Linked DNA regions of Rattus norvegicus. The protein of the gene in region 1 purifies or fractionates together with the protein of each later gene. This does not show direct contact. Links are inferred from orthologs where the notes say so. Each region holds a gene or a part of one and is shown on either strand. Other genes may lie near its edges. The genes, in order: Stradb and Cab39.

Region 1 (4,345 bases):
TAAACCTCGACTTGTTATATAAAGGCTTCCGAGTCTCACATTCTGAGCAACTGATGAGCAATGTACGTGATTAAATGAACATGTACATCACATAAGTAAAAATGGGATGATTAAAAAGAGTCTTTCACATAGGTATGTATGTATGTCTGAGACTTGCCACATACTACTTAGTTTTAAAAATAGAAAGCCAGATAGTTGCTGAGATGATACGGTATCTTTAATTTTGCCCTTCCCCACCACCAAATGTCCTTCACAATGTGTTTTCAAGTGTCATGTCATCGCCATTAATATGCTATTTGGAGCTCACTGTAGCTCAGACTTTTAATAGGGCAGCAAAGATTTGAAAGGTCACAAACATTTTTACTAAGATAGAGCAAGAACTCTGATTCCAGCTCATTTTCTTCTGTGGCCCATGTAAGCCAGGTGAATTTACAACGAAAAATTACCATCTTTCCTGATGCAGAAAAAGATGCATAAGCAGGTAACTGACTTTACTGCCATAATTGTGATTTTTTTTTTTTTTAAGGGTTTGGGACTCAAACGTGCTGGCACTGGAAAGCACGCCTGCCAATATTCACTCTTTTTTCACTTCAACCTAAAGTCTGTCTTTCTGTCTTTCTTTCTTTCTTTCTGTCTTTCTTTTTTTCCTTTAAAAGACAAGTGGCGTCTGGTTCCAGATCAATTGCAAAGAAAAGCCCAATAAAGAAAGAGCTCTTTCTAGTGTCCTCTCCTCCCATTTGCATCACAGATGGCCACCGAGAGCTTAAGGTTTAACGTCCAGACACTAAAGCCACTCATCCTAAAACGACAGAGCTCCAGATGGACGTTGTCTGGCAAAGAATGAGATGCTGCCAATCTTTAGAGGTGCAGATAGGGTGACTCCCGGAGGCTTGAGCCCTGCTCCCATCGCTTTGCACCTACACTTGGGAAACATCCCTTTCCCATCTCGGAGCGGGACCCTCCCGTGAGTGACCTCTGGGGACCAGAGAGACGCGGGACAGAAAAGCTTCTCTGCCTTCGGGAGAAGTTGACAAGGGCAAGTTCGAATCGCACGCGGGAGCTTACTCACGGGAATGGCCCGGCGTCCTCGCTCCAACGCCCGCACTCGCTCAGAAAGAAGCCCCTAATGCTGCGGCAGCCTGAGAGCAGCAGCTGAAGCTACCACTGCTGCAGCTAACCCCCGGGCGTGGCAGGAACTGGTAGGCGCCCTCACATCATCACAGGGCGACCTTGGAGCTGCAGTGACGCCGGTTCAATGGCAGCCCCCACCCAGCTAGGGAAGCTAAAAGGAGACCCATTCTCCCAACAGCCTCTGCGGCCCTAGCGCACAGCCCTCTGGGAACTGTAGTTTCCTTTCCGTCCCGCCTACAGCTGGAGGGCTCCGCCTCCTCACTACCGAGCTAGAAGCTGGAGGCGCGGTGGGGCGGAGCGGCGGGTCCCGACCCCGCTGGGGTGGGGCGAATCCCGTCCCAGCCGGTTGCCCCGGACTAGGGCAGAGGTCCAGGCCGACAGGCCTTCTGCGGCGGTGCTGCACTTCTGTGCCTTGAGGCTCGCCCTGGAAGCAGGCCTAGTGTTCTCGCCTCGCCGCTCCGCGAGGCAGGTCCCGGGTCTCGCGCGTGTCGCCTCCCCCCAGCGCCCGCCGCCTGGAGAGTCGCTGGCCTTGATCGCTGCCTAGGTAATGAAGGGAGGCAGGCGGGCAGGGGCTGGTGCGGAGATCCCGGGGAGCGACCGGGATCGCAGTTGGGTGGGTGCACGGCGAAAAGGCCAATCCTCGCCGCCGCTCCTCACCGGAGTTGACACGGCCGGCCGAGCACTGGCAGGAGTCTGCGGGAATCCCACTCCCGCTGTGCGTGCCAGCGCACCGGGGCCGAGGCTCCCGGGTGCCCAGCGGCTGTGCCAGGTGCAGGAGCCCAGCCACAGCCGTCCTGCTCCCCCAGCTCTTACCTTTGGTGGCACACACAGGCCTGGCGACTTCCCAAGCCGAAGACACTCTCTGTCACCAGCCCTGTCTGCTCGGAGACTTCGAAGGGACTAAATTAATTGTCTAGGCGTCGTTTTGTCTTCAGTGTTTACATTTGATGTCGTGTTTTCCCCTCGTGGGTTTGTTTTGTCAAATACCTTTCCTCCAAATTTGATCACAATTTGTGACAGCATCTACATAACACAGTGCTTGGCACTCTGTAAATATTTGTTGAAACCATGAGTCATGATACTAAGTTTGGAAAATTGTATTGAGCTGTGTGCATCGCTATGATCTTTGTTCAGGTTTTATGAGATTTCAAGATCACCTTGAGAATTATCGTAATTTTGAAACCTAACAAAGTATTGGTAGGTTTTTTTGTTTTTGTTTTCGTTTTTGTTAGCATTTCCTGTAACACTAGACCATTGAATACCTAGATTAACTCAAAACCCAAGCCCGTTTGGTGTCCCTTTAAAGTGTTAGCCTTTCAAATGAAAAGGCTTTGGGCATGACTTCTATATTATGCAACAAATTAGATTATAAATAAAGCTTTTTGTGGTTAGCTTTTTAGGTACAATTGCAAGGGCTACACTGAGACTGAGGCACTTACCAGTAGGTTTAGGAATACAGTCTTCAGGGGTTGGGGATTTAGCTCAGTGGTAGAGCGCTTGCCTAACAAGCACAAGGTCCTGGGTTCGGTCCCCAGCTCCAAAAAATAGGAAAGAAAAAAAAAAAAGGAATACAGTCTTCATATATATACACATTTATGAATACATACATATACACACATATTTTAAAGATGGGGTCTCACTATGTTGGTATCCTAGCTGGCTTAGAACTTACAAAGATCAGTGTGCTTCTGTCTCTGCCTCCTGAATGGTGGAATTAAAGGCATGCTCCACCAAGCCTCAGCAAGCTTTTTTTATTTTTTTAATTTATTTTTAAAGATTTATATAATCTTAGCATAATAGCAAAACCTAGGAGCAAATCTTTATTCAACTCCTTTGCCAGGTACAACTGCTGCCTTGATCTCAAATGTCTTGAGAAATTACCTGTTAATAGTGTGGTATACCGAAGGTAAAACTTCTGGGATTAAACCTACCCACTGGTGATAACAGCCCTAGGAGACTGTGACCTGATTTTTTTTTTTTTCAAATTGGTTTATTGTTTAAAACAACACACTCAATAACAACTTGCTGGTGCAGAATCTCGGTAACCACAAAAATTAAGTTAATCACCAGACCTTTCTGCCTCAGGTAGTCAGCCCCAGGAAGTTGGGCCTGGGGTTAATTACATGTGTGTGTTGGCAGGTTGGGGGTGGGTGCTGGGGGGGTGTCTTCTGAGCTCACCAGCAAGCCTATCCCATAGTGGCTATTCATTAACTGTGTTAATACAAACTTTCCCTGTGTGGTTTCTTTCCTTATTTGGGTATCACCTTAGAATAGATTAATAAAAGTGAGCTTTTACTGGGTCAAAAGCTGTGGATATTTTCACTGTTATTCAGAAGTCCCCAGCTTGCTTTTCCTATGAGCCTCAATATTTTATCTTAAAGTGTTTCACTTGTCTTGTTGTTGTTGTTTTTTGTTTGTTGAGACAGTTCCCTTATGTATCCGTGGCTGTCATGGAATTAGCTCTGTAGACCAGGCTAGCCTTGAATTCTGCCTCCCGAGTTCTGGGATTAAAGGCATGTGCTACCACCGCCCCACTGCACTTGTCTTTTATATCCTAGAGTGTATATAAAATGTCATACACTCCTTTGACCTCAGTCGCCCTGGAGGATAGGCAGCATTGGCATTTCTTTCCTCATCTCATAACCAGACCACCAAGCCCCATGCCTTAAGTTGTCCTTAATTCTTGGCAGGTGACAAGAGTAAATTTTCCAGTTCTTTTCCTTCTTCTACCTTTGGCTTATAGAGATTGTCCTGAGAAAATCTACTTCTTCCTTCAAGCAAGAAAACTGGGTAGTACTTTATAACATCCATGGTCTATAAATCTTCCTTTCCTCATTGCGTTTAGCTATGAGTGAATGCCTAGATCAAGTGTGTGCCGACTCAGATGAAGCAGTGAAGCCAGTTTGAGTGTTGGTGTGAAGGAGGAGACAAACACCACTAGTAAATACTTCCCCCTCCATTGAAAAAGACCCAGAAGATTTGGGTGCTTGGTCTGTAACTCCGTGAAGCTGAAGAAGTTACCATGCTAAAATTCTGAATCTATCAATGAAAATGGATGAGTTGTTTGCATAATAAAATGCATAACTTGTGTCTGTCAATAGTTGAGAATGTAAGTTTTACGTGAAAACTACGAAGTGTCTTTCTTAAATGTGTGGTAACAAGAGTTTGTTCATTTTAGCCCATTACAAACCCTGTTTCAGATCTGTGAATCCTG
Region 2 (3,814 bases), about 26 Mb from region 1:
AAAGGAAAAGTGAGCTGAGCACTCTGCTTCCTGATGTCCTCTCCTTCCACCAGGACATCCTCCCAGACCCTCCAACTGTGACCACAAAGTTAACCCTTTCTTCTTTAAGTTGCTTTTACTACTTTAGTTTAGCAACAGGAAAAATAATGCAACATCTAATATCTATTTTGAGTTAATAACAATGTTAAACAATATATTCAAGGCTTATTCAAGTCAGCAGCTAGACCACCCATGCATTAAAATAACGGCACTGGCTTTCCCCACAGACTGTATCTGGGATTTTGAAATCACCACTGTGGAGAGTTCTATTTTATGGAAGAAAATGTTTAATTAGAAGAAGCAATACCAGAATCAGTAAACTGATTCATTCATTCATCCATCCATCCATCCATCCATCCATCCATCCATCCATCCATCCATCCATCCATCCCTGTCTATTTACTTGAGACAGAGACTTGCTATGCAGCCCCAGCTGGCATTGAACTCATGGAGATCCACCATGCCCAGCTAGAGCTTTTTTTTTTTCTTTTTTAAAGTGGGCAGATTAGCTATTATAGAATAGTACAAAGCAAGAGATTTATCTATGAAATTCAGTTTGCAGAAAAGTCCATTTTAAACAAAATCATTTTGTTAAAATCAAGGAAATACAAAAGCTGGGCACTGGACTGTACAAAGTGTGTAGAAGTGCCGAGGCTGTGAAATGGCCTGCATCACACATGCGGTGCAGATGCAGAGGAGCCGAGCTGTGTGTGAGGAGACAGAAGGGCCTCGGAGGGCAGGAAGGCGCGGGGCCAATGACTGAAGTGGGGTTGTGGCTAGGGAAGGCTTGCTGTCTTTTTTTATGGTCAAATGTTCAGTTTCCCAACCAAGTGTGGTGGGAGGAGGGTAGTGCATCCCCAAGCCAAGCTTCATTCTTGGGCTTTTCCTTCTTATCCCCTTGGCTGAGGATTCTGCTCTGACCAGGTCAGAGTTTATACTTTATTTCTCAAAAATCTTACTTATTTCAGCTTCCAGTGACAGCACATGCTTCTAATACTATCATTCAGAAATGAAGTGTAGTGGATCTTTTGAGTTCAAGACCAGCAAGAGTTACATAATGAGACCCTATCTTAACGTTTTTTTTTTAATTTTATGCATCATCTAAAAAAATATTTACATCAAAGCTGCCATGAAATGGAAGTGTTAGTTATTTTTAGACTTCAATAGACCTTTGGTTTCTATAGCAAAGGGAATTCTGGTCTGTATCACACTGTTCTAAGAACACTCAAAATCCAGACTATTCACATGGCATGTTTCCACAGGGACACTGGACTGACACAACAAAAGTTCTGTACAGCAACAGGTGAAGAAGCATCACGGATGGGTAGGAATGGAGAGGAGGAAGCAGGATGCTGCCATGTTACGGGCTCATGCTTTGTCTAAACAAGTCTGAACTTGGAGCCAAAGTGTTAAACCACAGAGATACAAATCCAAATGAGGTAATGTATGAAGCTGGCGGTAGGGGAGCAAGGTAGTTCATACCAGCGGTCACTGCAGTGGGCAAACACGCTGGGATGATATCAAGAAGTGCCAAGCAGCAGTAGTGTGGAGGTGACTGACCGACTACCTTGCCAGCTGGGTTGGCTCAGTGCTGAGAAAGAAGAGGGTCTTTTCACTTTTGTTAATTTAGATCTAAGTTTTGATTTTGTTTCTGAAACAGACAACTACCCAAATCATAAACACCTGCTTAGTCTAGAAGTAACTCCAGGAAGATGTGTAGTGACCAGCAGCACATGCTTTGCTGAACGAGGGTGAGAAGCATGCATGCCCCACAAGGAGGCTCTCACTGCTGTGTGAGGGCTGAGGTGAGGTGAGGTGAGGTGAGGTGAGGTGAGGGGAGGTGAGGAGAGGTGGGGTGAGGGGAGGGGAGGTGAGGGGAGGTGAGGGGAGGTGAGGAGAGGTGAGGTGAGGTGAGGGGAGGTGAGGAGAGGGGAGGTGAGGTGAGGGGAGGTGAGGTAAGGTGAGGTGAGGGGAGGGGAAGGGAGGTGAGGTGAGGTGAGGTGAGGGGAGGGGAGGGGAGGGGAGCGGAGGGGAGGGGAGGGGAGCGGAGGGGAGGGGAGGGGAGATGAGGTGCAGAGGAAGCCTCTTTGGACCCAATTAGCCTGGGATCTCAATGATTTTGCTATTACAGAACTGACATTAGGCCTCTCTGGCTCTATTTCTTCCCTTCAGTTGCATGTGATTAGTGAACTTAAAGGCTCTCACAATCCACCCGGTTTCCAGCTTGCATCTGCAGGGCGTTTTGTGTTAGTTTAGCTTCCAGGCTAAGACGTTAAGAGGGCAGTATATGCAAGAGCTACACAAAAGTGAGCTAAAACTACAGAGAATATCTTCCCATGTACCAATCTGGTTATCCTTCCCCACCCAAACAATTTTTCTTTTTCTTTTCAACTAAGAATATAAACTTTATCACATTGTACATACCCTTTCAATAACATGAACAAAATATTCTGTTGGGTGCAGATGTATTCAACAGTAGGAGTTCTTGTACCAATTTGTCTTCTGAGAATATTGTTGAAAATTTGAGCCACGTCTTTTTTGCCCTATTAGGAATACAATCATTAAAATATTTACCTGTCTAAATATGAAAATGTCCATCCACCCTTCAATATAAAGTCAAAGAGCCATTGTGTATTAGTTATGACTGGATATCTGACTTTGCAACATTTGTAGACATTAAACTTCTAATTTTATCTAATTTTATAATCACAATTTCTTAGATTTAATAGTGTACAATTTTAAAACAATTTTATCAACAAAACGAAATCTCATTATTAACCACCTCTAACTCTCAGAAGCATGCTGACTCAGTTACGGAAAACAGATGTTGGAAGCATACTTACAATCTACAGGGATAGGAACCTTACGCAAGTGGATACTTCTGTTGTGAACACTACAGTGTACACACTTTTACAGAGCGGAAAGGGAGGAGATTGTACTCTCAGTGTAATGACATTAGAGGATTTCTGGCAAGTAGATAAACTCCTCTATGAACTCACTTGGCTAGGAAAGACTTAAATATATATTAAATATAAAGCACTAAGGACTACAGTAGTAGTATTACAGTAGTTCAGAGATGAGAGCTTTACACACAGTACAGACAAATCACCAGTGAACCTCAACACTCAGAAAGCTGCCCAAGAAATTAATAATAGACAACAGGCCCCCAAGAGATGTTTCAGAATAGATACTATCACAAGGCTGACAAAGCCCGGAGAGCACTGGAGCCCACAGACAAATCATCCTGGGGCTTGTGCTGGCTCAGGTGCAGTAATGGTAATGTCTACAAATCAGTCTCATGGCACACACTTAAAAAACCAATGCCTCTAAAGTTTCAGATGAATATTAAATTCAGTGTTCAGTTGAGAAAACAAAATAGGTGGAGACAGAGAAGGATCAGATATATCCCAAATGCACCTTTCAAGTTAACAGAGAAACAAACCATTAGAATTTGACACACTATTAAAAACACACAAAATCAGCTGTATAAATGGAAATATCTTGTTCTATCTTCTTTATAACAAGCCAAAAATGTTTATTTTCCTTTAAGAATTATTGAAGTAGCCATCCCTTCTTCTAACTCTATCACACCTCTCTCCACCAAAACCCACAGATAATATCTAACTGCTCAGGCAGACGAACATGAATGAGACTTAGAGCATATTCATGAAGTTACTTATGACCATGTAAATAGAGAACTTGGGGTATATGCTTCTCAGGCAGGAATCAAGGCCATTATAACTCACTATACACCATCATGAACCCAACATGTCAT

What was found.
Region 2: the proteins of Stradb (region 1) and Cab39 purify together in Homo sapiens (affinity purification with mass spectrometry; 3 studies listed by BioGRID and IntAct, counting the BioPlex papers as one, with this or other methods). This does not show direct contact. The link is inferred for Rattus norvegicus from reciprocal best matches to the Homo sapiens genes STRADB and CAB39.

What each region holds. Positions count from the first base shown.
Region 1 is NC_086027.1:67,906,918-67,911,262, forward strand, and holds the start of Stradb (STE20-related kinase adapter protein beta), read left to right. Parts: upstream 1-1,404; 5' UTR 1,405-1,675; intron 1,676-1,944; exon of another isoform or gene 1,945-2,869; intron 2,870-4,345. UniProt on the Homo sapiens protein: Pseudokinase which, in complex with CAB39/MO25 (CAB39/MO25alpha or CAB39L/MO25beta), binds to and activates STK11/LKB1.
Region 2 is NC_086027.1:93,955,837-93,959,650, reverse strand, and holds part of Cab39 (calcium-binding protein 39), read right to left. Parts: intron 2,583-3,814; coding exon 2,464-2,582; intron 1,845-2,463; exon of another isoform or gene 1,700-1,844; intron 1,479-1,699; exon of another isoform or gene 1-1,478. UniProt on the Homo sapiens protein: Component of a complex that binds and activates STK11/LKB1. In the complex, required to stabilize the interaction between CAB39/MO25 (CAB39/MO25alpha or CAB39L/MO25beta) and STK11/LKB1.